Linked DNA regions of Lepisosteus oculatus. The protein of the gene in region 2 purifies or fractionates together with the protein of the main gene of each other region. This does not show direct contact. Links are inferred from orthologs where the notes say so. Each region holds a gene or a part of one and is shown on either strand. Other genes may lie near its edges. The genes, in order: psma3, stub1, pkma and hypoxia-inducible factor 1-alpha.

Region 1 (7,096 bases), on a different chromosome or scaffold from region 2:
TTTACTCTGCTGATTCAGGCTCCACACACAGAACAGCAGAGCCTTTACGTGTGCAGCAGCACCACAACTGTGGAACTCACTGACAAATCTACAAGAGACTGTGTGAGATAGAAAAACATAAGACTATAATTACAGAAAGACCAAGCATTTCACTAAAGTATTTAATGCCAATTTTCATTTAATTTTAGTTTACTAGGGCCGATTGCTGGACTTAAACAGAACTATAAGGCTTCTTTATTATAGCAGCCATGTCTCTCTTTTCACAATATTCTAACTGTACATCACAGCCCCAGATACTGTATTTTACTAGATTTGCCTACAGCTGAAACTACAATACACATGGAAATTCAGTTCAACTTTGTCATTTACTTACACAGGCACATAGTACAGTGTATTTTAAAGTAGTTATTCGCCACTGTTAATAAACAAAGATTGAATCCCATTACCTGCACCCGAAGGGCCTGACCGCACTGTACAGGGTGTACGCGTGCACGTACATGGCCACTCTGTCAGCAAGGTGCTGCAAGAATAAGACAGAAGTTGTAATCAGACTATCACTCCATGCTACTACCCCAGAATAAGCCGACCATACACGGAATCTCTTTAAAATTGTAAAAATAAACAGTGCAGAAGTTACATAATACAGTTCAGTTGCTGTTTTTACCAAATGTTGCCTTCCTTGTGTGAAGGCATCTGTGAAATAAATACATCTTCTACATGAAATCTTGCCTCTTGTCAAAGCAATATCAGAAAAAAACACCATTTTCTTTCAAGAAGGTATTTCCTCCTAGTAAATGTGATCTGTCACTGTGCGTACTGGTAACTTCTGTCAGTTTCTACTTCTCTTTCGAATGAAGAGGTCAAGGACTAAACATCTTTCGTCAGAAGTTACACGAAAATGAACCATTCTTTTTAATGGGATGATAATGGTGGCTTAGGGACTATTTTATGGTTGTTAAAAAAATCTCCTACCTTCAAGGGAATGTCATGACCATAATTGGACCTGAAGTTGGAAGCCTCCTCTCGCGCAATTTCCGAAAGAGATCGCGCATCTGCCAAGAGTCCTGCCACCGCCTGTGGGGCAAAACGAAAGGCATCTTTATGCTCCTTTACCATCTTTTCTAATGGGTATTTTACATCTAAAAGTGTGAAAGAATGCCAACTCGCAGCCTAGCCTTTTTTGGTGAAATGCTGAAACAGACATTACCATTCCCACATGCCGGTCGATGTTGAAGATGCGTTTGTTTGAACCCTCTTCATACAGCTTGGAGAGGACAAGCTTTTCAACTCCAAACACCACCCCATCTTTGCACCTGATCCCAATGGCTGTGCTACAGAACGGAAACAAAAACCATTTTAGTAGCAGCAATGAGAGCAAATTCTGGCTGGGAGAATCCAAAGAGTATGAACAGACCAGGTGTTTAGTCCCTTCTTAAAAACCAATGGACTGAAGCAAACAATCAAAAAATATTCTGAGCTTCTGATGGGACTAATATAGTACACTGCACACACACACTTCTCTATCTTTGTACCCACTGAATCAATATTTCCTGGAGCCATGACATCACTTTAGTTTTACCGCTGAAATGCCAGTGGAAACTAGTCTTCAAAGTCATTGCCATGCAGCAGCTCACGACAATCACATGTGTTTTGCGCAGCACTAAGTATCTAACAGGCACATCAGCAGCAAAGGTGTACAAAACGTTAAGCATGCCTTTGCAATTTTCTTCACAACACCAACTCCTTTCTGCATTCACAGTTCAGAAAGAGGAGACAAGACTCACCTGCTGTTTTCTACTGCTTTCATGGCGTATTCAACTTGAAAAACTCTCCCGTCTGGGGAGAATGTAGATGCAGACAAATCATACTGAAATCAGAGGTGTACAACCACAATCAGACGGGAGGATTGAGCTCTGTGAAACCACTTCTTTCAGAGTTCATACATCACATCAGTGTAGCTCACATGGGTGCCATCTGTGCTATTCAGCCATAATTCGAAACAAATTGGTAAATTATTCTGAGATGTGTCTGTGACAATCACATTAATTCACGTCAAGTCTTTGTCATTTTGCTTTACGAATGAAAAAAAACAACAAATGGTAAACGTGGCATCCCCGTGCCCCAATCTAGGTATTAGACAAAAATATAGTACTCTTCTGTGCAGAGTTGTTTTAACGAGCTTAAATAGAGAAGCCTCTGATTGCACCCGGTGAATTACAATTATAATATCGAATTACACGTTAAAATATAACAATTCAAAGCACATCTTTTCCATTTCTGCCTTGTGTTCCACCTTGTGTTGAATATTGTTTATCATTTCTACTCTTTCAAAATGGAAAAACAACAATACAGGCAACGGTAACATGACTTAAAACCCAATCATTCCCACAGACCCCCCCCCGCCCAAAGTCATGCTTGCCTTCCTATAATTAAATAATGTATAAAATAGGAAGGAAATAAAATATAAATATAATAGGAAGGAATGGGTAGTACTGACTCTATGATGAGTTGCTAACAAATTGCTACAAGTACCAATCGCTTTCACTTTCACCATCGCCGACCGAGCTAGTGACTCAGCAAGCATACAAGTCCGCACAGTCCTCCGGACAATCGTTATCAGCGCCTTGCAGCGTATCTCACAGAGCAAAAAAAAAAATAAAAAACAAAGTACAAGAGAGACAACCTCTCCGTGACAGACACGTTCATGACTGAAAGCACAACAAGAAGCCACCGAAATTCAGCGGACCTCACCGCTCACGTACGGCTAGCTAAAAAGGCCGGAAAACGCTTAGTTCTAAAAATGCCCAACTTTGCTAAGATACAGTAATTTATCCGCCATAATGGCAGACATTTCAAAGACTCGTCGCTTACCCCGGTGCCAATTGAACTCATTTTGGGCTACAACGTCAAGAATATATGTATTGTTGCCCCTACAAGCTGTTCTTTCTCGCTGGCTAGGTTTGTCAATTTCCCGACTTGCCACACTCTCCCACCGGCTAACAACGCACAAGCCGATTGGCTGAAATCTCGCCCCACTGGGATGAGCGGCGCTGCCGGGACTGTCCTCGGCTCTTCGGACAGCGCCGCCTGCTGGTGGAAAGGACAAAACGGCCTGTTTCCCCTTTGGAAAGCCGTCACGTTGTACGGGGTTGTGGCTCATCAAACTTCTTGCGATTCTGCTTCACGCAGAGTGGAGAGTCCGTTTGTACCACGCGTACCTTCTCGAAAAATACAGCAGAAATTCCGAAGCAATGATTTCATATATGTATACACTGTTTATGATTTGTGATGCGTTATAAATGTTACATGTTGTTATGTGTTATACTGTGCATGTGCAATAGAGTGATGTGCATTGTTTTTCTTATTTTTTGTAATAGAAGAATGTGCAATGTTTTTCTTTTCTTCTTTTTTTTGGTGTTTGCATTCTATTTAAATGTACGGGAGTGCGTGGTGTCCATAAAAAAATTCCCTCAGGGGACAATAAAATCTTATACTAGTTCTGTCTTTTTCAATTAAAAATGCTTTTCTCATACAGATGGTTGGAAATGTATACAATACCAGATTTGAAATATATATGTATATATACTTTAACATATTATTTGTGTCATACTTAATTGAATAAGTCATTTTCGACATCCAGGCTTGTAGTTTTGTTTATGTGCGATTGTTCCGTATACTCAGGTCGCTACAATAACAGGTGGGTGCTATCAGCTTCCCCATATCTACCACACATAATAAAAATAATTAGAAATAATAGAGAAACTCAGGAGCAATGCATTTCAAAACAAAAAAATGATGAACAATAGTTTTGGACAAGAATAACTATGAGTAATGTTAAACTACTTTAAACTACTTACATTTGTATAGCACGTTTTAACCCAAGGTGCAATGTAAGTTCATGTAAATGTGTAAAGTATTGTGAATGTTCCTAAGCAAATTAAAAGCTAGTTCTAGTGTGACAGATTCAAGATAATTATTCAAAGGAAAAGCTCAGATCTACTGATGGACCAAATCCCCCATAATGTTAACATTAAGGTGGATTAAGAAGGAGATACGCCTCATTTCTTACTACTGTACTTTTTTAAAAATACGTTTTTTAAATACGTTTCAATAAGTTTTGAAATAAGTATTTTCAATAAGTTTTTATTGAAACCCCAGAAATACAAAAAAAAGGAGACAGAATATTAAAATAGATACAGAAATAGACACTTCACACCCAGGGGAATTGACAAGCTAAAAGTTATACTTTTTACATATTTTCATTGTATGGAAATATCTCCATTGCCTTTTGATTCTTTAAATTTCTAATAGAATTCAAATAAAAAGGGAATTCAACTTTAAAAGCATGGATAGGGTGAGCAGTATTAGACCATTTACTTTTGTGGCTGAAGTATTCAGCCCAAATAATGGCTGACTAGTGTACTTTCCCTTTCCTTATCCAAAGCGTTCGACTGCCCTCTTCAGGATTCACAGCGCCCCACTTGCCTGCAACCAGACACCTCACTCACTCCAGGGCATTTTCTCTCGTCGTCTTCCCAAGTGGAAACGTGACATCAGCGGAAGAAAAAGTTTCTCTGTTAGGACACAAATCCGAACAACAACAACAACAACAATAATAATAATATATAGAAGTTACTAGCCGTGATATAAACAGAAAATCACCATCGGTCTGCTCGAGAACCTGTCTTTTTCGGTAAGTGATGTGTACCGCTGTGTTTGTTGTTTCCCAAAGTGTAAACAGGTGACTACAGTTTTAATCAAGAAAACTACAAGTACACATGTCGAAGAACCTACAAGTTGTGAAATCGCGGACGTTGTGCTCATGACACGATTTTCAATAACTCTTTTTTTAAATAGATGCACGTAGATGTGTCTCGCTGTTCCAAGAAAAAAAAAGTTAAAAGTATGATTTTGTTTTTAAACGGACATAAAGTAGGATAGGATAATGCACTGGAGGATTAAAAAAAATACATTTTAAATATCTGTCTCCCATTAAAAAATTAAACCCACCTGAAATGCGAAAAAAAAGGTGTCTGTTCTCAAATTATGTTTTATATGAAATCGATGCGATAGTTCTGCAAAAAAGAAGCATATATTGCATATATTTGCAAAAAGCTGAAGGCTGAAATAATTCGTCATTGTATATCCTACCAAAATACGAATTGAGTGAGAGAGAAAAAATGCAATTCACGAAGAATTGACTTAAAACAAATCCAATGAATATTCGTTTTCACAACCAGGCTCAGATGGGAGTTCTGTTCATCTGACGTTCATTAAAATACTTTGTAAAATAATGTTGGTAATATCAGAACCGCATGGGTGGTGTGGGGGGAGTTGAAAGTTTCGACCACGGTGACACGTATTTGATTGTTAAAGATAAAAGGTGCTCAACAACAACAACTACATTGTTTCCAGAACAATTCCGCAGCCGGTGACCTGGAAGTGCTCGCGGTTTCTGCTTCGGCCCAGTGCTGCTGGAGACGCTGTCGGGGGGGAGGCAGGGGGTCTGCTCTGTGAGAAACACCCCCCGGGCATGGAGCAGGACAGGGCTCTGCTGGGCCGATGCACGCTAGCAGCCGGGCTCCTGACTTGCACAGCGCCCTTCAGAGGGTTAAACGGAAAATGGCGAGTTTGCAAGGCGAACTTGCCGAAATGTAAGTGCGCTTGCTGCTGTGGTCTCTCTGTTGTTGGTCCCGGTCTTCAAACGCACGGCTGAGACCGGTGCAACAGTAACAGGGCGCCTCGGCTCTCCTGACCCAAGAGTATCGGCGAAGGTCGAACCGGAGGTGCAATTTCGTGTCTGTGCGACTCGCGTTTGTGTTCCGCTCGCCTGTATTGTTGACTGTCCAGCTGTCACTCATCATGTATTTTACACCCAATCCAAGGCATGCTTTATGGCATTGCACGTTATCACATTTTTTACTTTTCAACGTTTACTTAACCACAGTTTTTTTTTCTCTTACAGCTAACATTGTTTCTGTGCACCCGGCGCTATTGTTTTACATTTACTTTATATATGATTGTCCTGTTAATAGTGTATACTGTCAATGTATTTAACATTCTCATTCACTCCTAATTTTTCCATCAGTTGTGAAATCACTATTTTCTCTTGTTTTTCGAAAACTTTAAACATTCTCTGGAAAGTATCCTAGCTATATAAAGTAAAAAAAAAAAGAAACAGTAAATGTTTCACAGGAAAAGTATTCGACCTAATTGCTATAACACCCTCGTGGTCGGTAAATAAAGAATGAAGTACAGTGTCCCCATATTGCAATTAGTTAAAACTGCGTAAAGAGAGCTAGATGGTTTTCGTTTTGCTGATCATAGGAAGAGGTTATGTCAGACCACAATCTGTTTTAGAAACAAGATATTGAACATGTTGTTGTTCGCTTGAGCAGCGGAGAGGAACCTGCAAAGACTGGTTTCTGGTTACGAATATGGCTCTTAAAATGGTTTGTTTTGTTTGCTAATGTCAGTCTCCGCACTAGATAATGAGTATCCCTAGAGTTAACAGGTTTATCCAAGAAAATAGTTTAAACCTTATGCTGATTTTATCTTCCTTAGCCCACTGAATCTAGGCAGGTGTGAGCCTGGCCAGTACCTGGATGGTTGACCTGGGAGAAATTAAGGTTCCTGCTGTAAGATGTGTTAGAGGGGCCAGTAGGGGGCGCTCATCCCACGGTCTGTATGGGTCCTAGTGCCCATAACTTATAGTGGATAGGACACTATACTGTAAAAAGGCACCGTCCTTCGGTTGCGATATAAAACCAAGGTCCTGACTCTCTGTGGTCATTAAAAATCCCAGGGCATTTCTTGAAAAGAGTAGGGGTGTAACCCCGGCATCCTGGCCAAATTTCCCCCTGTCCTTTACCAATCATGGCTTCCTAATAATTCCTATCTATGAACTGGCTTCATCACCAGAAAAGGGCTATATAAGTGTAAGGAATTATTATTATTTAGGAAATGCTCATAATCTGTTTTCCTATAAGACTGCAAAAACTCCATCATTGTTCATTGCCTGAGAAAACCTTCACACTTTGCTCTCGGGATGAAATGCCAGATCAGACAAACAGGTGCCAGGGAACCCACTGAATCT
Region 2 (7,582 bases):
TAGTTTGTGTTTTGCTGTAGCCCATTTATTGTGGCCTTTGACATTAATAGGCTGGACATTGACCTGCGATCTTCCTTACCACCTGCAAAGTATTTCAGAATGAGAAAAAGCTGATTTTAAAACTGAAGCTGGTCTCTGTTTAAAAGGTTGCCTGTTGAAAAACAGCTGCACATCGCTCAAATGTTTGCTGTTGTCGGAGCTTTGGGTACTTCACAAGGGGAGATCATTTCTTAGGAAAAGGGAGGAGTTAGGAATCTCACTTAAATAGACGAAAAACAGAAAGGTAAAACAAAGCTCTCATTCTACCATGCAGAAGCAAAGGGACACAAACAAGGAGACGCCATCAGCAGCAAAGATGGGTGAGGATTTCAAGTCGTCTAAGCTGAATATCGTCCATTTCTGCGAGATCGCCCTTGCTGGCATTGCAGTGGTCTTGTCCCAGCTCATGAAAATTGAAATCACTAGGACCATTGACAGTGTGTCGCCTATTGGGGACCCCCTGACCGCGCTTCAAAAGGTCATCCCCTTGGGCAATGCCATTGCTAACAGAGACCCGTCCAGAAACACCCCAGCCAAAGTATGGTGCATTATCGTCTGGTGCTTCTGCTTCTCCATGACCGGGCTGACGGTTCTCCTGGAGTTCATGGGCCACTCCAAGAAGTCCAACCGCTGTGAGAAGTTCATCAAGGCTGTCCCCCGGTTGGCGATGGTCATCGTCCTCTCCGCCTGCATCGTCTTCCCTGCTTGCCACCTCTGCATGCTGAACGGTTTAATCAAGACGGAGTTCGAGACGATGTGCCACAGGGAAATGATTAGCTGCACCGTGGTGTCCTGCCTCCTCTTCATCGCCTATGGCGTGGAGGTCAAGCTGAAGTGGCCTTAGTCTGGTCAAAGTGGCCTGCTTTATGGATCATCCCCGCCCCCCATTAGATTCAGCCATGGCCCTCACGCAGTCCTTGTTTGCTAATGTACAGTAGATGTTCGCTTTCAGGCTCCTTCCACCCCAGTCTCCTACTGGTCATCAGCATGCAGGTGTTCAGCTGTCACCCGGAAGAGTGGATCACAAACTGGGACAAGGGACATACTGTCTTTTTTCCAGCCACCCTCACTGGTGCAACAGTGATGATTCTCAGTCTCTGTTTTCAGGGGTCTCAAGTGTAAATGGGAGTCAGCTGTGAGGGACTGGACCTAGCTGTTACTGTATTTTTCAGGTGGTAGGTTTGCTGATTGTTCTCTAAAAACCTGTCTCTAAGGTTCATTTTTTTATCAGTAATTATTGTCTAAAGATTATAATTAACTGTGATCCTGCTTAGAACAGTGTGACTCTGTGTATATTCTAGGTGTCGGGGTAATTTTAAATAAATCTAGTGGTGTGCTTTTAACTCAGTTTTTTCTGTAACTGCAGTGGCTGCGTTACTTGTTGTTTTATGTTGTAAAACGTAAAAAATTTAATTTCCTTTAATTTTTTTGCACCATAATATTAGTAGAAAGATGGTGATCCCATATATTTCATGCTATCTGCTTCTTGTCTTCTTGTGCCAGTAGCAAATAGTCATGGGTAAAATGGTTCACTGCTATCAATAGCTTTATCCAGGTGAAAGGGAGTCTTTTTAAATTCCTTTATTTAACCTATTACCTGAGAACAAATCCTCATTTACAAAATTTACCAAAAGAAATGACTGGATCCATCTGAATGAAGTGCTTTTTCGAAGGTTTGGCAGTAGTACTCCTCCCAGAATTGGATAATAAGTTTTACCAGTGTAGTTTAATGGAAAACACATGCAAAGCCCTTTGTAAACTGATGGTGATAGTTTGCTGTATGCATTCAACTTCAATAAACCTGAATGTGTTTATTTTTGCTGGTCTGTTTTTGTTGCTTTTGTTCCACACCTTAGTGACCGAATGTGGAAAAACTCCCCATCAACTGGTGTTGCAGCTTTTACAATCCACTTTTAAGAGCACATAAATAATAGTAATTATTCAAAAACAATTTCACTCCTTCGTATTCATAATGTAGCAACTTGAGCAATAAATCAATGTTCAACATTTCGCAAGGTGAATTCATATCATGCAGTTTATACATGGAATTTGAGATTTTAACTTAAATGCATTTTGTTTTCTTCAGTCCGTTCACGCTTATTATGAAAAAGGAAGCTCATCACTTCAGACCGAGCGCAGCGCGACAGTGACATGATCTGCTGAATACCACAAACTACACAAGAGACAGCACCACAGGGAGAAAGACACGTCAGTCCCTCGGAGATAAACAATGCAAGGTCATTGGGATACAGAACACTGCATGAAAGGCGTGTGGATGTGTATTGAAGTAGGACAAGACTGCCCCCTGGAGCACAGTCTGAGTGCTGGAATATTACAGAACACAACTGAAGCCTGGCACCCTAGCTAGCATTTGCTCATATTTAACAAGCAAAGAGGTTAATTTGAAGATTCATGTTGCCTATTGCTATTTCTGTCTTGGATTCAATCACATACTAAACTTCTGTACACATTGATACCTGTAAAATAAAAGTCTGAATCTGATGTATATACAGGGTATCATAATTTTGTCATCACCTTGTTCCCAGAAAATGCACGTGTGTGAGTGAATGTGCAAAGACTAGCAGTTTCAGTTTCCACGTCAATGGGTCTCCTGAAGCCTAACAATTATGTTGATATTGGACAGGACTGAACTTTCTTCCTTAGGGAAGTATTTGATCAGTATTTGCTTGATGTTAATAATAATAATAATAATTGCTTACACTTTCTGGACACTCCACTCAAAGCGCTTTACAGGTAATGGGGACTCCCCTCCACCACCACCAGTGTGCAGCCCCACCTGGATGATGCAACAGCAGCCATAGTGCGCCAGAACACTCACCACACACCAGCTCTCAGTGGGGAGGAGAGCAGAGTAATGTAGCCAATTCATAGAGGGGGATTATTAGGAGGCTATGATTGGTAAGGGCCAATGGGAAATTTGGCCAGGATGCCAGGGTTACACCCCTACTCTTTTCAGGAAACGCCCTTGGATTTTTAATGAGCACAGAGAGTCAGGACCTCAGTTTTACATCTCATCCGAAGGACAGCACCTGTTTACAGTATAGTGTCCCCGTCACTATACTGAGGCATTAGGACCCACATGGACCGCAGGGTGAGCACCCCCACTAACACCTCTTCCAGCAGCAACCTTAGTTTTTCCCAGGAGGTCTCCCATCCAGGTACTGACCAGGCTCACACCTGCTTAGCTTCAGTGGGTTGCCAGTTGTGAGTTGCAGGGTGATATGGCTGCTGGCTAAATGGTTTTTACTTGCTCAGAGCTTTGTTCAAGGTTTGAGCTTTTCGGTTCTAAAATAATGCTGGGTGTAATAGTATTATTGGGTGGCACAAGCAGCCACTTAGAAGTTAGAGAATTAACTAAATCTTTAGAATATAAATCAAGGGATGTTATATTAAAAGATAACATTGTTAAGAATACTGTACATGCAGTTTTGATCATCAAGTTACAAAATGTTTTGCAGGCTTAAGAGAAATGTCTCTTCAGAATAGACAGTAAAAACTTTCAACAGGAGGCATTTTACATAAAGATTTGTGGGGGAAATGGAATAAGCTGTGTTATCCATGTTGATACCCTGGTTGCCAGGAAACAGCTGGATAAGATCCTCACATCAATTAGTTACTAAGTGATAACTAATTGACTACTAGCTACAGTAGCAATTGAGTTGGTTACAAACCAGATGAGTCTTTCTTATGTTGTTATGTTTTCAACAAGCCCCGTTCCATTACAAACCGTTAATTGTAACAAACTCTGACTGGTCTATAGTTTTAAGTTACTATGCTGCTATAATTATACTAAATCATGACGCTATTGAGTATATATTTAAAGTCAACAGGTCCACCATAAGCACAGCACATCTGTTGCTTGTGTTGACCGTCCACACTTCCAAAATGTCTAGAATTACTGTCAGCTTTTTTTTTATTATTGAATTGAATTGGAACACATATTTGAATTGTCAGCCTAGACATAAATTATAATTACAAATTAAGAAATGGCTGGATGACATCCTCGGATCAATTGACTAGTGACTGCCAAACTGGCTATAGACTAATCCCTTCCTCGGTTTGCAAACGTTCTCCCGGTCTATGTTTTTGTATTTTAAATCAACCTAGAGCGGTGATTTACGTTTGAAATCCGCTCGTTAAGACTAACGAATGCAATCAGCCGGCAAAGCACACCCGCTATGCTCTATTTCATCCATTTTCTCGCAAAAATAAAGGGTTAAACGACAGCGGTAAATCGCTTTGCACTCTATGGTCGTCTTCCGTTGTTTTACTTCCGAGTTTGACCCGAACTCTCTTCGGGCAGGAACTTCCGACAGCGGCTCAGCCATCAAAACAAGAGACGGATGAGACTCGTAGTCCGGGAGTGGGGTGAAAGCCCCAAATGCCGTTATTTTCTGAGAAACGCAATGCGAGTATAGCACCCCTGACCCATGATCGCCCATTTCTTCTCCACAGTGTGAGTCTACATATTTCTCTGGGAAGAAAAACCCCCCGCAAAACGTGAGGTGAAGCGGACGTCAAGGCCAACTGGCTGCGCGGAACCCCGACCTTGCCTGTTGACAGCAGCCGAGGGACACCTCTGCGGCAGCGGGGAAGGCTGCGCTTCAGCTATCCGGTAGGTTCAGGAAGGCGGGGGAGGGAGGGATGGGGTGCCGGTCTTTCCCTTTGGGATAGCGATTCATCAGCTTTAGAGGAGAAGCAATAGATCAAACCAAGCGATGAAATATACGTATTAGTGGCCAACAGTGGGCGAAAGCACGCTTGCAGACATATGGTAGCTACCTGTTGTAAACAGCAATTTGGTACCGAAAATGTCATGGTGTTGATACCGACGGACCCGTTGCACAGTCCCGGTGCCATCTCTTTTCCATCTTTATAGAAGGAAAAACCTCTGTTGGGGATATTGCCGTTAATTTTCGTCTACGTGTACTGATGATAAGTAACGAGACCTTACACCTTATTTCAGACACCCCCCAGAGTGAATTATTATTTTTAACTCTCTGAAATACATGTTGCAGATCCTTATTCTAGAAATCTTGGGGTTAGTTGATGAGGCACTTCACGTATAAGCATGGCCGAGATGGTCAGCAGACGTGACGTGTTTTGCAGCCCAGTTAATAAGTGTTTCTGCTTAAAATGAATATCGCCCCGGACCCGTCGGTGACTGATTAGTCAGCAGACCACAGCGAGTGTGTGAAATTTAGCGTTTTTTCTCTCGGTACACGCGTTTTTATGGGAATGCAGGGCAGATCTCATTGATAACTGGTCTCCTGAGGCTGATTACATGAAGCCTACAACTCGCCAAAGAACCCATGATCCTAAATTCTCAGCCGCATCGATTGTCATAGGGATGATCGAAGTAATTAATGTAGAGTCCTGTTTAGTTCCAGATGTATATTTTAGTCGACCCCACGTGGAAAAAACGTTTGTTTTAGTTATGATAACCACCCATGTGGTTATCTGTCAGTCCTGGGATCTTCTCCGGAAGCCCAGTGATGGTAACTAATATAACACGATTGTTTTAGTGACTTCCCTCTATAGATGTATGGCTCTTTTATGCCATTAAATTAGGAGGCAAAACGACTAGAAGTGTTCTGAAATTTCTACTTTCCTCATGGTGAAGTGGTGCCTTCTGTGTGGAGTCTGCGTGTCCCCCATAATTATCATGCTTGCTGGTTTAACTGGCATCTCGTTGGGCTTGTGTGTGGATGTGCTTCCCAATGGACTGTGCCAATAGTATGGAGGTTCTAAAAATAGGCTAATTCTTGTCATAATTTTTGTTCGCCAGCGATCTGTTAACCAGACCAGGCCAAGATTATAGACTAGGGCCTCCGGCCCTATTCACTTCGCTTTGATAAAGTTTTGATGTTTGAAGGATCTGCTGACATGTACTGTATATATGAGATCAAATACTTAAGAGCCTCTGCTCTTATTCCTGGTTTCCTTCCTGAAGAAGGAAACGTTGTTAGTACATCCTATGAAACCTACCGCTGTAGCCTTGTAAGTATGTCGAAACGTTTCATATAGACGAGAGTAAAAAGTACAGGTCCCTGAGGTACAGTGTAAAAGCCATGCAGGGAAAGGTTTCATATATTTTAATTAAACCCAGATGTAGGTAAGAGTATCTGGCTGCAGGTTTGGACATAATTGAATTGTAACCCCCTTTGATTGCATTACCAAGATTGAGCAAACATCATTATCGCTGGTATCCAAGAGAGACCCGAGAGGCTGGTGTTCCTTTCATTGGCTGTGCAGCTCGATGAAAGAATTTCCATTATTTGAAATGCTGACCCATCTTAGGTTATATCTCATGTGGCTTTCCTGATTGAAATGAACTAATACTGTATTATGGATTACAATTCAGTGTGTGCTTTTATCTTCAGTTGCATTGCTTTAGTTTGTCCTGAACTGTTGTATGTTTTTTTTTCACATGACAGCAATGCATTGTGCTGTTTTTAATCATGTCGATGGTAGATATATAGTTAATTCCTCTTCTAGAGTCTTCATTGAATCTGCCATAGCAGAACTGAGCAATAGAGTTCTGTTTAGAAGGATAAACAGTTCCATTCTGGCAAATTAGCAATTAAAGCAGCTGATCTCTAGAGATGTGCAATTTAAACAAACTTTTGAAATGTGAATAATCACAAAAGAAGTTAAAAGCTTTGCAAAATGTAATTTATTTTCAGTCAATAAAGTAGGAGCAAAACAACTATATTCCATGTATATCAGATTAACATAAATTCATTTTAGAAATACCATTTTCTCTAGCAGGACTGCAGAACCTTTAAGTGCCACAATTGAAGCATCCTTCACAGGTTTACTGGCTGTAATTAAGCTACTGACAGGTGTGCGGCTTAAAACTTTTTTTTTTCCGTTTTGAAGACCCTAATTAGTGATATTCTAAGAATTTGCAAAAGGTAGCTCAAAATTGGTGATAATTGGGGTCAATGCAACCCTTGTCTCAAGTAATGACTTCCCCAAGCATTGACAATGGTGTCCTTATTTCTTTATCTTCATCTATTTAAGTGCTCTTGAGGAGCACTGAAGGAGAAAGCTAGGGATTGCACTACCATTGATGAAGCACATATCTTTGAGTTTTTTTCGTTTTGATGCAGAAGGAGAATATTTTACTTTGCAGTGTGTTCACAGTTACAGTACCTGGACTTTTATTTGCTTTGCTTTTGCTGATATTTTGTGAAGCACCCTGGGGTGCTCAGGCAGGAATGGCACGACATAGAAAAGTTTTGTTGCGTTTGCTAGAAAAGCTTTTTGGGCATAGGTGATGCCACACTTTTTGTGTTTTTAACAGGATATTTATAGGGGAACTGCAACACTATCTTTATATTTCGGGGCTAGAATAACCATTGATGAGTGCGTTTGAAACCGCAATAAAAAGTAAAATCTCCACAGTAACTTGTAAAACCTCCAATTTACATCACACAAAATAGAGGACATTTCCAGGTATGCGCTATATTGTGCGTTTCGGAACAAGGCAACAAAACTTCAGTGACGTGTTGCGGCC
Region 3 (7,796 bases), on a different chromosome or scaffold from region 2:
ACCTACCAGTCTGTCTTTGGACTGTGGGTGGAAAACGGAGTACCTGGAGGAAACCCACACATACGTGCAAACCCCAACCAGATAGAACCCCAGGTCCAGAACTGAACTCTAGGTCCCAGTGCAGTGAGGCAGCAATGCTAACTACTGTGTCACTGTGTCACCCACTGAACTTATTTCTTAGTTTCTTTTAGTTTGATCTGAATCCAGTTTCTCAGCAATGTAAGGGTGGTGTACAAGTTAAGCAGGCTGGCTCAGACAATAGGCCAGCATCACCAGGTTGTTGCTGCTGAGATTGGTGTTACTGTACCTGTAGGTGTTGCTCTTTCCTCTAAACCATGGGGGGGCAGCACGGGGATGCAGTGGTTTGCATTGCTGCCTCTTAGCACTGGGGCTTTGGGTTTCATTCCAGACCTGGAGTGTTATGTGCTTCAAGTTTGTATGTTCTCCACAAGTTAGAGGTGGTTTTCTCCAGATGCCCTGTTTCCTTCCAATGTCCAAAGACATACTGTACTTGTAGGTTAATTGGCATGTGGGAAAATTGGCCCTGGTGAGAGTGTGTGTGTCTGTGCCTGAATGTGCCCTGTGATGGACTGGCATCTCATCCAGGGTGTATCCTGCCTTGTGCTCCTTGCTAGCCAGGATAGGCTCCAGCTCCCCCATAACCCTATAATGTATAAAGCAGTTAGAAAATGGATGGATGGATGGATGCTCAGTGTGGTCATGGTGACCAGGGACACCTGTGGGAGGTGCCATCCTCATCCTGCATATAACTTCAGATAGCACTTTTTGAAAGAGTAGTGATGTTAACACTAGTGTTAACACTAGATGTTAACACACGTTAACTGTGGCTGAAAAGCTGATCAACACATTTGTATTCTCTCGAATTGACTACTGTAATGTTCTACTCGCAGGGGTATCAAAATCTACTCTGAACAAACTGCAGTATGTCCAAAATTTAGCAGCCAGAATCCTGACCAGGTCTAGTGCAAGTGTTCAGGATCACTCCTGTCCTGGAGTCCCTGCACTGGCTTCCGGTCAAATTCTGTGTAGACTTTAAAATCCTCATGCTCACCTATAAGGCTCTGCATGGCTTGGCACCTCAGTACCTGTCTGAACTATTATCGCCCTACTCCCCACCTCGCGACCTCCGCTCTTCAAATTCTGCCCTCCTTACTGTCCCCCAAGCCCATCTACATTGTGTGGGTGACAGGGCCTTGTCCTGTTATAGCCCCAAGGTCTGGAAATCTGCCCAAGGATATCAGAGAGTCACCTTCTCTAAACTCCTTCAAATCCAGATTCAAAACCCTCTTCCTCAGAAAAGCCTTTACTTAACTGGTTCCATTCTTCACCCCTCTGCTCTTCTTAGTACCACCATCCACGGTCTCCTCTATATATTGTAATTGTGTCTTATCTTGTGCATTCTCCTTATTTATTGTTATACTCTTCTTATTTATTGTTATTGTCACCCTGTAAAGCACATTGAGAAGCCACCTTTAAAGGCGCTATATAAAATAAAGTTTATTAGTATTATTATAGTGTCCTGGCTAAATTCCATCTTGGGGTTGGACAGCCTTGTGTCTCCATTAAAAATCCCCTTGATTTCCCCTTGAGTGAGACAATTCCCAGTTCTTCACCTCAGCTACTCTGAATTGGGGATGCTGGCGGATAATGACAGCTGCACGTCAACACATAAACACGGTGGGTGTAGCATTTCGGTGGAGGATGTAAGGATTTCTGAGAACCTTTGGGATGAAAAATGCTATAGAAATGACAGGAAATATTATCTAATATATTTAATGTGCTTTTACCCTATATATACGTGTACATTGCTGATTCATGAGGAAAAAAACCTCTCATGTAAAAGTATAGTTACAATAATAACCTCTCATTCTCAGTTTTTTCCATTTCTTTTCACGTTGGTAAAAGCTATAATAGAAGAAGGTCATTTGGAACTAATTTTATGAGTAAAGACAGTTTCTCTTCCTACGTTTTTTATTTTATCCCGTTTTCCCACGGTAGAAATAACTTACGAATTTGACCTCCTCCTTTCCTTTTCCGATTAATTTTAAGCACATCTGAGAGCACTAGCGTCCTCTTGTGTTCAAATGAACGTAATAAAATAGTTTTATTGCAGTACATTTACCCTAGATGGTGCTAAAATGTTCTGTTTTGAAACGTAAAAGCATCGAACCTAATCGCCTTACAACAGTAATGCAAATAATAGCACACGTTATATTTACAAGTGAGCCATATAAACTGTAGGAAAACAATTATTAACAACAATACAACTACATGTAATACTTTCAAAGATAATGTTTATGCAAAAAGTAAGATAATACTTCTTCTACGATTAATATAATAATAATAAAAAACATTTAATTTTTACTTATTTACCAGTGTAAAACAAATCAGCAGACTGCCAATAAATACAAACAAAATGTTAAAACAAAAGCCTCATCAGTGAAATCAGTTGATTTTAGTCACAGAAGAAAGAGTTTCCTGCAAGCTAAATCAGTCTAGCATTTCAGAAATTACAGTTCTAAAGTCTTTTCCCCACACCATCAGATGAACAGCATTCTCTAACTTTAGTATCTCTGCTTCCTTCGCCAGTGAAGTTTTACCTCAACCACTGAACATTGTTTTGCCTCTTTCCTAATATATCGGAATCAGTAGCTACATCTCCACTAATGTGCTCTGTAGTTTTTGGTGAAAAAGCTTTAGCCCAAAACTGACATGCCTAATCTGTTATTATTGTACTCACACTTACAGCTTAAATGCATGAATTAGATTTAAATTATTAGGCTTGCATGAACTTGGTGGATTGATGTGATAAATATGGAACTCTTGCACATACTTTGTTGTATGTGGTGAGTAAAAACTTGCATGGTACTAATCTTCTGCCATGGAGTGATTTCTATTGCCAAACAGTGTCTTTGTATCATGGTATCCCTTTGTCCCCCCCTTCGTTACCTGTTCGCACTGTTGCTGCTGCCACTGCCCATCGTGTCCTGTCCTTACCCCTGTCTCCACCACCCCCACCTCAACCTGCATCTGCTCTTCAACCTAGCTCAGCACAGCCAATGGCCATGCCTGGAAAGTTGATTGGCAGACCTGTGAACCAATCGGTTCATCTTCAGGTTCACCCTGTGGCCCCAAGTCCATCCCCAACTCTTTCCACTAAGCACTAAATCTCTTGTCTCTCATAAAAAAACAAACTCAAATCCAGGTGGCTTACTTACAGGACATGTGAAATCCCACAGTCAGCTCACAGTAAATTTCTGCTTCTCTTAGGTGTTGTAGCACCCTTATGGGCATTTGAGCCAGTCCCAAATGACAAAAAGCCAACTTTAAAAAAATAGTGTGTATTTTGTCCACATTTAGCTTAATGTGTTTCTTTGTAGGAGAGTGGTATGGAACCTGCTCCATTTAAGACTGCACCTGGATTGTTCAGCGGTGGCTGTTCTTCATTGTTCATTTGGTGACAGGGAGTTGAGTTGGGAGAAACACGTCAGGAGCTGCAGTTATGAAAAAAAGCTGTTTCTTTTCTTATAATGCTTCTGCTCAGATTTAACCCAGAACAGCACGCTGGGGAGGTGAAAATGCAGCTACGCTTGTCCCGGGAGCACAGGCAGATGTCTGCAGACAGAGAACTGCGTGCATCCTCACCTGTAGCCATGCTCCTGGTCTTCAGGAACTCAGTTAATCTGCCAGTGCTTCTATCTGGCAGATTACTGCTAAGGAGGGTAAATACTGATTAAGGACACTGTTTAGGCTCAAGGGGGTTACTTGTTTCTTAAAGGATATTTTCAGATGAAGTTTCCATGCTAAAACATCATTATTATTGCACATATTCATCAATATTGGCTCATTCCTTGAAAAGACACCCAGCAATATTAATTTATCGATACATTTAGTTGGTCTTAATGATAACTTAGTACACCTTAATCCAGTTCTAGTAATGATCTCCTATAGGATCCCATTTTAAAGGCATCTGACTTAGTGAGCAGACAAGGATTGTAGTCAATTAGAGAGAATCTTACTGATGTCTGCAACATTGTCCAGGGGCTTGTTTAGCTGAATGCTCTGAGACATTAAATAATCACGAGAGGCCCCAGTTCTTTTCTTGGGACATTCGGTAACATCAGAGTTTGTAAGACCATAAGTAGGCACCCACAGTTTTCCCTTTAGACAAGAAGGATAGCTTCCCTTAGCTGAAAGTGGTTTCTCTCCTCCAGCCTGTTCCCTGTCTTTCTGTGCCCAGTCAGCTGGAAGTCACATGAGCAGCAGTGGCTGAAACGCACTGAGCATGCCCACAACGGGCTGTGTTGTCAGGCAAAATAAGACAGCAGAAGGAGCAGAGATCTGCAATAGATAAACACACACACAGCTAGGCAGACATAAAGAGAGAGAATAGAAGAGGGGTAGAAAGATTCGATTCCAGCTACCATTGTGCTTTTCTGAGGAACAGAGACAGAAAGCTGGGAGCCCAGTGCCACAACAAAAAATTAAACAAAAAGAAAAAGACAGCATTTCTCTTTCTACCTCACGAGAAGGGTAAGTGTGAATTGGGAGAGGAATGTGTGTGCATTTTTAGCTTTTATTCTTTTTGTGGGGAGGGGGGAGAGTGGGAGGTGGTGGTGCACTAGAATATGTCTCTATAGGTAACCAAGGCTACCGTGAGAGGAGTGAGTCTGGGCCCACAGAAAATGGAAGGGGAGGGTGGGAGGATTTGGGGATGCTGGAGGGTCAGACTGGTAGGAAATGCAAATACAGTACAGGTATATGCATTTTATTTCTCCGTGTATATTGACTGGAGCTCAGATGTTAATAGTGTGTGAACTGTCACACACTGCATAGAAAAGGTAATGCTCATTCTTGGGAATTAAAATAAAAGCTTGAATAGAAGGTACCAGAAAAATAAACTATTCTCTGCCCATTTTTAGCTGTGCTTCTTTGCTAAGCCCTTTGAGGTGAATGCAGTGGACAAAATGGCTCAGCGACAGAAGGTTGAGTTTCATTCCAAGAGTGGAAGATAGCAGAGTGGGGTATTAAAAAAAGACCAACTCCTTATTGCCAGATGCCAGGCTATGGCAGGAGAGGGTGAGATATAGCCAGAACTGAAAGCATGATTTCAGAGAAAACTGGACCCTGAACACAGAGCAGCATCCTCTGTTACATGGAGAAAATACAAAATGTCTGAAGGCAGGATTTGTAAAATTGAACTTTTTTAGCAGGGATGGAGCAAGGCTTTCAATGTTTTATAAACGAAAACTGTCTCCCAAAGATGAAGCACCTGCAATGGTTTCATACGGTATATATGTATACTTTCAATAAACCTTTTTATTCTTAATTGATCTTAAATATAAGATAACATTCCATGAGTTTCAGAACCACAGGGAGGACAAGGGTTAAATTCAGTCATATTCTGTGTATAGCTAAAGGTGTGTTTGTTTGAATTGAAGCCTTCTATGCATTCCAGACGTATTTTGCGAGGTCTAAAGTGATTATATAGTTTGTGTTGTGTGGTAGGTTTTTCTGTTTATGATCATGCTTGGGGAATGAATTGAGCCAACTTTGCAAACAAAGTTGCAGATGACAATTATTGCGTACTACTGCATTATTATTTTACTGTGCTGAATTATTTTTCTTTGAACTTGGCATAATGACTAATTTCTTAGGCCTTTAGCTCAAAATTGATCCTACATTTTTAGCAGCAACTGTGCATCACACTGCTAGTATTATTCATGTTAGATTTAGACATAGTAATTGATCTACTTCACAGAGGAGTATGTTTAAGTACTATGGCAGTAATGTAATGTAATGGCTGACCCTGCGCTCTAACCCCAAGCTTCTCTCCCTGTCTGTGTGTCTGTGTCTCCATGGAGAAAAGCTGGGGTATGTGAAAAGACAAATTCCTAATGCAAGAAATTGTATAGGGCTAATAAAGTGATGTTATGATGTTATGTTATGTTACACTGGGGACAATTTGGAGATGTCATTTAACCTAAACAACATGTCTTTGAATTGTGGGAGGAAACTGGGACCACTTATCGAAGACCCTCATGACCACAGAAGGAACATACAAACTTCACACAAAATGTGACCCAGGCCAGAATCGAAGCCAGGAAGCATGTCTAACTCCCATGTCAACATGCAGCCCCTTATTTGAATGAATTGTATTGAAAATGTGGGGCACAGTGTGTGGAAAGTGGGTGTTTTCTGTGTGGAGTTTGCAGGTTCTCCCCATGTTCATGTTAGTTTCCTCCAGGTGCTCTGGTTTCCTCCCACTGTCTAAACACATAGCGGTAGGTGAATTGGTTCTTAGGGAAACTGGCCCTGGTCTGAGTGTGACTGTATTTGTGTCTTTATGTTCAATGTTATGGACTGGCGTCTCATCCAGGGTGTATCCTGCCCCTGCCTTGAAACCACAGCTTTCCAGGATAGGCTTCAGCTCCCCAGTGATCCTGTCCTGGATAAAGTGGTTAGAAAATTGATAGATGGATCAAAAATTTGTAGAACAGTACCACAGGAAATCTGTAACAAGAGACATCATCTGTCTTTCAGCCCTTTGTACATCCCTTTGAGTTGCCAATTCTTTCTGTTTTAGTGGAGATGTCTGAGTTTTGTTTTCTGTTAAAATATTTTCTGCTTCAGTGTTTGTTGCAGAATGACATCTGGTGATGTGGACAGGGGCTTCACTAGGATTGAAAAACACAGCTGAAGGAAGCTGAGGCTCCACATAGGCTCATGCAATAATCATAATGCAACAATGGACACAGAACAAGCATGGCAGTGAACACTAAACTGGTGTCATGGAAACAAACCATGTATCACAAACAGTATCACAGAAGGACAGAGATATGACATTTTCTGATATGACACCCTAATAGACTGTTTTAACATTCTCCATATATAAAACATGATTATCCCATCTTGAGTGCTTGTTTGTCTATCAGCTTCAGTCATTTCCTTTTTGGGAGGTTACAAGTTAATTCAGTACAGAATTTCTAAGAGAATAATCCATTTTTCTGTAGGATGCCACTGGAAGGTGTGTAAAACAAAATGTGTTGGAAAAATGCTGCAATTTGTCCAAACAGCCTTAATCAAAGTCTGTGTTGTGTTCTATAACACAAATTTAATTATATTGGCCATCTAAATTAATAATTAAAACATATTTTTAATAATTATTATAATTAATAGAATTTCAATGATGACAATTATTGTTATAACACGTAATTGACATAGTGGTGTGAAATAAGATGAAACACATTTTATTATTCTGTCATCTTTTTTTGGAATAATCTTTTTGTAGCTCTGTATCATAGCAACACGCAGGTCCATTGTCTTCATCAGCAGCACATTAATCATTCCGCAATAATAGTGTCTCTAATAGTCTATAGAGTTTTCAGATGTCGTTTTGTGTAGGCTTTGTCTCCACAAGCCTAGTTACACTCTTGTTTTAAAGCAGAGAGATGCAGTTTTTATATGGGATATTTATTGTGCAGTGTCTCACTGCTGTTTAGCTTCTGGTTAATTTTAAAGTTTATTTAGAATGCAATATCCACGTTTCTCCTTTTACACCCAACTTGAAAAGGTCAGTTTATATTTAACTCCACTGTCTCCTACCTTCCAGACTGACATGAAGGAATGAAAGGCACACACATTCTTCAAGAAACACATGTCTGACTTACAGATTCCAGTAGGAGGTCATACAAATTTAAATTGACTCTGCTCTGCACCCTCCCAGTAGAAGTACTTTAGCATTATCACAGGGGGCTCAAGGCCACAACTGATGA
Region 4 (7,013 bases), on a different chromosome or scaffold from region 2:
TGAACAGCAGTTAGTGGACCGATAACTTCAAGCTCACTTTTCATAAAGGAAAGGAAAGGCTTCATGTTAAATCTGGGACACTGGAAAAAACCAACCAGCTTCAATATGTTTTAACGTTTTAATACCTCTCAGGGCTTTTAAAATCCAGTATTCACCAGCAGACTTCCTGCTCCTGTTGGGTGGACTTGATATGAGAGCTGATAATTGAGCAACCCTTGATAAATAAGATGTCTTTTGCAGGCATTGTTTTGACAACATGAAAGAGCAGGAATTCATTCATGATTTATTCCCCACACAAAGTTGCAGAGAGTTTGGCTCAGATGATAACGTGTTGAGAAATCCAAACTATTGCCAGTAATCCTATCACTTCACTTGGCAGTTAGTGAAAGGGACTTTAAAACAAAGAAACCAGGCCTCTCAAGGGGACTTTTCATAGAACCATTGGAAGCACTACTTTCTGACCTCTGTTTTTAGCAGTGAGCACTGGAACGTTTGAAAACCCAAAAGCATTTTTAGACTCCTTTTTTTTTCCACCTCAACTTTGCCTGTGCTGAGTAATAGCTGGGCTTGTGGCAGGATCTAAATTTTAACCCCTAACTCTGGCCTCACCAGCCTCGGATGATGCATGCTCATGAGACTCCCCCCCTCCTCCCACACGCTGCGGTGTCCTTCAGACCGGGGGGCAGAGAGGGGCTGTTTTCCATGCAGGTGCTCACTTCGGGCCAGCAGCTCCCGAATGACAGGGACGCCATCGACAGGGAGCCAGGCAGGGAGCGAACGGCCCCACGCAGAGTAACACCGATTCCGCCCCCCCCCGACTGCGCTGCTCTCGGTGTCGCTGGCCCAGAGCCCAGCTCCAAACAAGACTGGAGACGCAGACAGCTCGGATTCCTCTATTGACCCTGAGGAAAATCAATAGGCAGACTGTGGACTGAGAAATTCAATACCTTTCTGCCTTCTCACCCCCTCCCACATGGATTATATATTTTTTTCTGGAAATATTAATGACTTGGCAAACAGCTTATTTGTTCTGAACTGCATGAAAGGTGCCTAATTCTGATGATCTTACTTTGGGAATGCTCCAGCGCAACTTGAGGAGCCAAGAAGGTACTGCAGTGGTTGGCAGAGTTAGTTATAACGTACGTGTTTAGATTCCTCTCTCTATAAAAAAAAAATGCTCTCTCTTCACAGAAACGTCCATGTGGGACTTCACATTTTTTCCGTGCTCTGTAAGTGCCAGGCTGCGCAGTGTGTCCCACGCACGGCTGACACGTTCCTCTCCTCAGGGAAGAGTTCACTTTCCACGACAGGCAGACTTTCCTTAAGATGCAAGGAGAGGCTCAAAGTCACTGCCTTCCTATTCTACCGCAGGCCATGCAGTGAACAGGCTAGCACCCATCTGCTCTGCATTACAGACTGAAGCGGATATTTTAAACCATGGGGAGTGCTTATGTTCGTCTTGATTTCAATGAACACATAAAGTTAAAGATCACCTGTTGCTATTTTAAATTAATTGCAATCAAAGTGAGTAGATACTTTGGTCTATTTAGATAAGTGTAGAGGAGACACATATTTTGTACAATACCAAGTACTGAGAACTCTGCACAGAAGTAGTCCAGCATGTTTGCGATCAATTCGACAGTGCTCACAATATTCACGCGATATAATTCCTTTCACACATTGTTAAGAGTTCATCTTTCCACAAAACAACCTAAAAATCCCGTTTCGCTGCTGTTTTTCCGGAACAAACAGAACAGAATGAGCGGGCGGTTTACATACACCTGGGCTTATCAGGGGAAACATTACATTCACAGAGTCAGACTGTTTTCACAGAAGAAAGGCTGAACGTCTGGAAAATACTATCAAACCTGTTGGATGAAATGTGACCCATGAAGAAAGGAGATTTGATTATTTCTGTAGGGAAATGCATGTATTCTCAGAGGTTTGGGCGAATTATTTTATCATTTTTATATTTGGATATATAACCTAAAAATAACAGGTCAGTGTATATATAGATCTCCTAATGCCTTCTTTCAAAGGCAATGCTACTATCTCCATCCATTTTCTAAACGCTCCATCCACCACAGGGCTGTGGAGCAGAATGACTCTATCCTGGCAAGCTCAGACACAGGCCAGGACGGTGCCAGTCCATCGCAGGGCAGACACACAGACACAAATGCACATCAGGGCCACTTTTTTCCCATAAGCCAATTAACCTGCCAGTATCCCTTCGAGTGACCTGAGTACTGGTGAGACCCCACACAAAACCAGGAGAACATACAAACTCCAAGCAAGCAGCACCCCCAGATCCGGGAATCGAACCCAGGGCCCAGCCGCTCAAAGGGAGCAATACAAACCGAGCCACCGTGCCGCTCACTAGCACTTCTGTCACCTCGTGCACCCAAGTCACTGCAGCTCCCCGCCGTGCTGAAGAGAGACAGGGAAGTGAGCGGAGTTAGTGGCACCATGGGGCAGAGTGGTGGCCCTCTGGCTAAGGATCTGCTCCTGTTGCTGGAAGGTTGCTAGTTCAAATTCCATGGCTGGCAGAGGAATCCTACTCCGGTGGGTCCCTAAGCAAGGCCCTTAACCCCAGCTGCTCCAGGGGTGCTGTATAAATGGCTGCCCCTGTGCTCTGACTCCAAGCTTCTCTCTCCCCACCTGTGTGTCTCATGGAGAGCAAGCTGAGGTATGTGAAAGGACAAATTCCTAATGTAAGAAATTGTATATGGCCAATAAAGTGATCTAATCTTATCCTTTATGAATGTGTTTGGGGACCTGTGTCACAAATGGAGCTAGTCTGCCGGGCAGGCCTCGTGCTCCATGCTCTGTCCTCAGCAGGGCAGGTCTAAGGCTAACCAAATTCCACAAGCTGCATACACGACACACCGCTCACTGACGCTGACTGGCAGCTAAACCCGTAAGGAGATTTCAAACAAAGCTAATTAGGGAGCCCAAAAAGACTGATAGCGGCAGTCACATGGCCTCTTCATTCATAATACTTGTGTCTGTGTGTGTGAGAGCAGGGGGGTTAAATGTACCTGTATTCATTTATTACTTCCTACTATGTTTTGTACCTGTATTCATTTATTACTTCCTACTCACTATGTTTTAATTTTGGAAGCGTTGTTACTTTAACCTGTCTCATAATTCCAAGCATTGTTTTCAATTGTTACTTGCCGCAGACTTTTGCATTTGTCGGTCATGTCGGTAGAACACGTTTTAAGGCAAAGTAATCTTAGAGTATCTGTCTTTGGCTTCATATACTCCTAACCTAATGTAACATTAATTGTCAGGACCCCAGCAGATTTAATGCGATGCAATGTAATTTAATTCCCGAACACTATATTCCCGAGCATTCCTGAGGGCAATTTTAATCTCAAGCATGCACTCAATTCAAAGAGTAAAACAGCCAAAAACTACAAAATCAAAACAAAAACAAGATGCCGGTCAGACTGCAGGTGACATCCTGACTTTAATATTTTATCAGACTTCGATATAATATAATAGTACAGTTATTTCACCCTCAAAGGTATATTTATTAAGCAGATTTATTAGAATGTTTTAGTGTTATGAATGCGACTTAAATTGTTTTTTATGGGCTTCAGGTCTGAATGAACTGCTTTTTTCCGACCAGTATCTGTACTTAAAAAAAAAACATTTTAAAAATATGACGTTTAAAATATTAAGAAATGACAAAAGGTGTGTACGGCATTTGCCTACAAGACGTTCAAATGTTATGAAATAATGTCATTTTATCAACAGGTTAATAACATCTTTTAACTGTTGCCAATGTGTATATATATATACGTTTACCGAAGGGTTAATCATCTTCATCTTTAAATCAAACCACGGAATCACTTCGGCCTGACGCAACCAGCGACGTCCCCTGCCACATTTCTGTTTCGGGGAACGCGCACGCATTTTACCTGAATTTTGATCTCCGGGAGGCTCGGCCGGGGCGTGCGCGGCCCCGTCCTGGAGGCATGTGACTGCGCGCCCCCGAGAAGGAGCGAGTACAAACTACAGTGTAAGGAGCATCTCGGACGCGGCGGAGAGCTTGGACCGTTTCTCCTGAACGAATCGCACACACCGGCTCGAAACAGATGTTGTGACCTTCAGGCACCTGGAGGTTTGACCTCTTGCTACCACACACGTCAAAAATAGTTCTTAAAGTCAGGGCACCTTGGTTCGTTTCGTCTTCCTGTTGGATTATAAACCGTCTTTTCACTCTCGGGCCTGGGGGAACTCTTACTGTTTGGGAGATCCTAGCTGACGTCTTTCATGCGATAATGGACACGGTCGTAGTCACAGAAAAAAAGAGGTGAGTTTGAGCTTTCTTGTTGTTCACGGGAGGGGGGTTGTGTCGTTTAAACTGGCCCCTGGCTCCGTCCCCGCTGTTTTCATGTGCTGTGGAGAATTTGCTCCCCATTTTTGTGTGTGTATTTTGTCGTATGAATCATTTCTTGGCCGTGGCCACGTCGCCATTTTGTCTGAGTGTTTGGTATGGCCGCGCAGGACAGTTCTGGTGTGATTTCGTTAAGGAGAGGGGGGGACACTTTGATTGATTCGGGACACTTGTTTGATATATCTCGTTTTCCTGCAGCCGGGGGCTGCCTGTGAGGCGAGGCGCGGTTTGTAGCCCCCCTCGTCCTCCTCAAACACGGAGGGGAGATCGTTGCAGGAAGGAAATCCCGAAGTTGTGCGCTAAGTAGTTGCCTGGCCCCTTGACGTTGTGCTGCATTTCAGCCGCCGGTTTCCCGAAGAATCAGAAATAAAAGTGAGACAGACGTCGCTTGGGAACTCGATAAGAATGTCAGATGATTTGCTGTGCGGGCGATGCTTATTAATACTGCATGGGCGCTGGGTCGATGGGGGAAAGGCGACCGGCTGAAGAGATGAATGGAGGCTTTGGTGGTTTGAGCCCAGGGTCTTCGGGACGTGTTCCCCACGCCAGCCCCGGGGAAATGAACCAATTTTCGTCGGGTCTTTTACACCTTTCGCGAATCCGTGCGCGATCAGGCTTTGGGGCTGTCTTGGCACTCGCGGAGTTCACTGCGTGTGTGGGTTTTCGGGGGTCCCTCGGGGATATGGAGCCCAGGATTTTGGAAACAACCATGTTATTAGTGTTGTGATTGAAAATGGGAACCCTCCTCTTTCGTGTGCCGGCTTGAGGAGCTCTCTCGGCCAGTTCTTCATGGTGGCCCGGAGTGAGTGGAGAGCGGGCTGGCAAGTCGGACCTTACAGCGCAGTTACTTCCCGATAATGATCTCTTTCCATCTCTTGTTTTGCCAGCGATGGGGGATGAGTAGGGCAACAACAACAAAGAAGGTGTTGTGTACAGGTAGACGGTTTTATGAAGATGTTGTAAGACCTTTTGTTGTTTTGAAACGAGATATTTTTAGACATTCTTCCCTGTAGGAAGAGGGGTTGTCATATTGCCATTCCAAAAAAAAAGAGCCTAAAGAAATGAGCCCAAAAAAATGAACAGTGCGTTTGTTTTTTTTTTGCTTCAATGCTTCAATGCTTGATAGGTGGTGAGCGTTGCTGGTAACAAGGCTTGAAAAAAAGACTGGTGTTTCTGAGAAAGAAATTGTCACTTCTGCTCTTAGCGTATAGATAAGAGGCAAGTGTCTTTGCGTCACAAATATAGCCAAGAGGCTCGGTTTGGTCACCCTTCCAGCTTGTAACAAAGCGGTTTAGGTGGGAAATAAGAGTTTTGAGTTTTGTTTTTAATGGCAAGATGGAAAACTGGTAACTGTTTTCTGTCGGGGCAAGTAAATCTTATTCCCAAACTTTCCCGAGTAAGTTACAACAGCTGACTGCATGGAGCAATATCTATCATGGAAATACTTAGTTCTTTCTTGATAGCAACGAGCTAAATTTCGAGCAGGCGATGAAAACGGCTCGTTTTTTTACCTTGCCTCATATTTTGAAACCAAAGATTTTATTCCAGGCAGGCGTAGTAGTAATCTCAGACGGAAATAGGCGAGTGAGTGTTTTGGATATTGCATAAGTTTCACGGAACAGTGTGGTGTTTGTACAGTTTGTGCTGATGTCCCAATAAAGTAGTAAGAAAGTGAAGGTATTGAGTGTTTATGCTGCCACTAGGAAAAAAACTTGTTAGAGACACTGGCAAAAGAGCTTGTATTTCCGCAGTGCATCAAACCCTGATATCATGATATATGCATGTAGTATTAACAGATCAGGGGTTTTATCAGCTTCTGGCTTTGGAAAAACAATAGTTTATTGATGACAAAATTAATGGAACAACATAGAGCAGAAAATGAAATTCTCTGACTTAAAAGTCTTTATGAGCAACAAGGACTATAGTTACAGGGACACAAGAGCTACAGTTCCCAGACTTTTGTCTGAAAATTCATAACCTCTGGCAGAACATCATGTAGAACAACTTCTTACATTTGCCTGAAAATATTCTTGTCCATTGCAACATTAAGTAGGCCTACATGCAGTGTACAGATACCAAAAATGGAAATGCAGCATTGGCTTGATTCTCCTCAGATTTTCCCTAGCTTTCGACTCACTAACCCACTATCAGTCATGTTTCTAATTCTTGAGAGTACTTTGTCATGAGCAGCACCATCTGGAACCATTCTGCAGATGCGTAGGCGTCTCTTGTGTTCAGTCCATTTTCCCAAGACCCTTCCCATCAAAGGGTGTTGAGTCCGCCGTGTGTACAGGGCTGACGCAGTGCTCCAGCTGAAGCCTTGGTCCACCACTTCACATTGGCCTGGTTAAGAACCCTTCCTTTGGCTTTGTCTTAAATTCTGGTTGGGAATCCCTTGCACCTATTCACCTGAGAAATGTGGTAAAAACAAACCCAACCAAGAACCAGTTTGTTTTCCTATCGGGTTCAAAGAAACTATGGCTTCTTGCTGATAGCAAGAAGAAATAAGTTATAAGACATCATGACTTCACTTAATACAGTATTTGTTTTACTATAGTATATAACTAATTTATATCTGATTTCTCAAATGTGTGTTACCTTGTGTTCT

The links.
Region 1: the proteins of stub1 (region 2) and psma3 purify together in Homo sapiens (affinity purification with western blotting; 3 studies listed by BioGRID, with this or other methods). This does not show direct contact. The link is inferred for Lepisosteus oculatus from reciprocal best matches to the Homo sapiens genes STUB1 and PSMA3.
Region 3: the proteins of stub1 (region 2) and pkma purify together in Homo sapiens (affinity purification with western blotting; 3 studies listed by BioGRID, with this or other methods). This does not show direct contact. The link is inferred for Lepisosteus oculatus from reciprocal best matches to the Homo sapiens genes STUB1 and PKM.
Region 4: the proteins of stub1 (region 2) and hypoxia-inducible factor 1-alpha purify together in Homo sapiens (affinity purification with western blotting; 3 studies listed by BioGRID, with this or other methods). This does not show direct contact. The link is inferred for Lepisosteus oculatus from reciprocal best matches to the Homo sapiens genes STUB1 and HIF1A.

The regions. Positions count from the first base shown.
Region 1 is NC_090703.1:4,537,158-4,544,253, forward strand, and holds the start of psma3 (proteasome subunit alpha type-3), read right to left. Parts: upstream 3,011-7,096; 5' UTR 2,893-3,010; coding exon 2,872-2,892; intron 1,868-2,871; coding exon 1,785-1,867; intron 1,332-1,784; coding exon 1,208-1,331; intron 1,075-1,207; coding exon 973-1,074; intron 521-972; coding exon 447-520; intron 1-446. Other genes in the region: mipol1 (mirror-image polydactyly gene 1 protein), read left to right, coding at 5,563-5,654. UniProt on the Homo sapiens protein: Component of the 20S core proteasome complex involved in the proteolytic degradation of most intracellular proteins. This complex plays numerous essential roles within the cell by associating with different regulatory particles.
Region 2 is NC_090714.1:6,186,770-6,194,351, forward strand, and holds the start of stub1 (E3 ubiquitin-protein ligase CHIP), read left to right. Parts: upstream 1-4,568; 5' UTR 4,569-4,675; intron 4,676-7,582. UniProt on the Homo sapiens protein: E3 ubiquitin-protein ligase which targets misfolded chaperone substrates towards proteasomal degradation.
Region 3 is NC_090700.1:61,163,166-61,170,961, forward strand, and holds the start of pkma (pyruvate kinase PKM), read right to left. Parts: upstream 3,018-7,796; 5' UTR 3,003-3,017; coding exon 2,971-3,002; intron 1-2,970. UniProt on the Homo sapiens protein: Catalyzes the final rate-limiting step of glycolysis by mediating the transfer of a phosphoryl group from phosphoenolpyruvate (PEP) to ADP, generating ATP.
Region 4 is NC_090703.1:7,462,630-7,469,642, forward strand, and holds the start of hypoxia-inducible factor 1-alpha, read left to right. Parts: upstream 1-3,998; 5' UTR 3,999-4,289; coding exon 4,290-4,321; intron 4,322-7,013.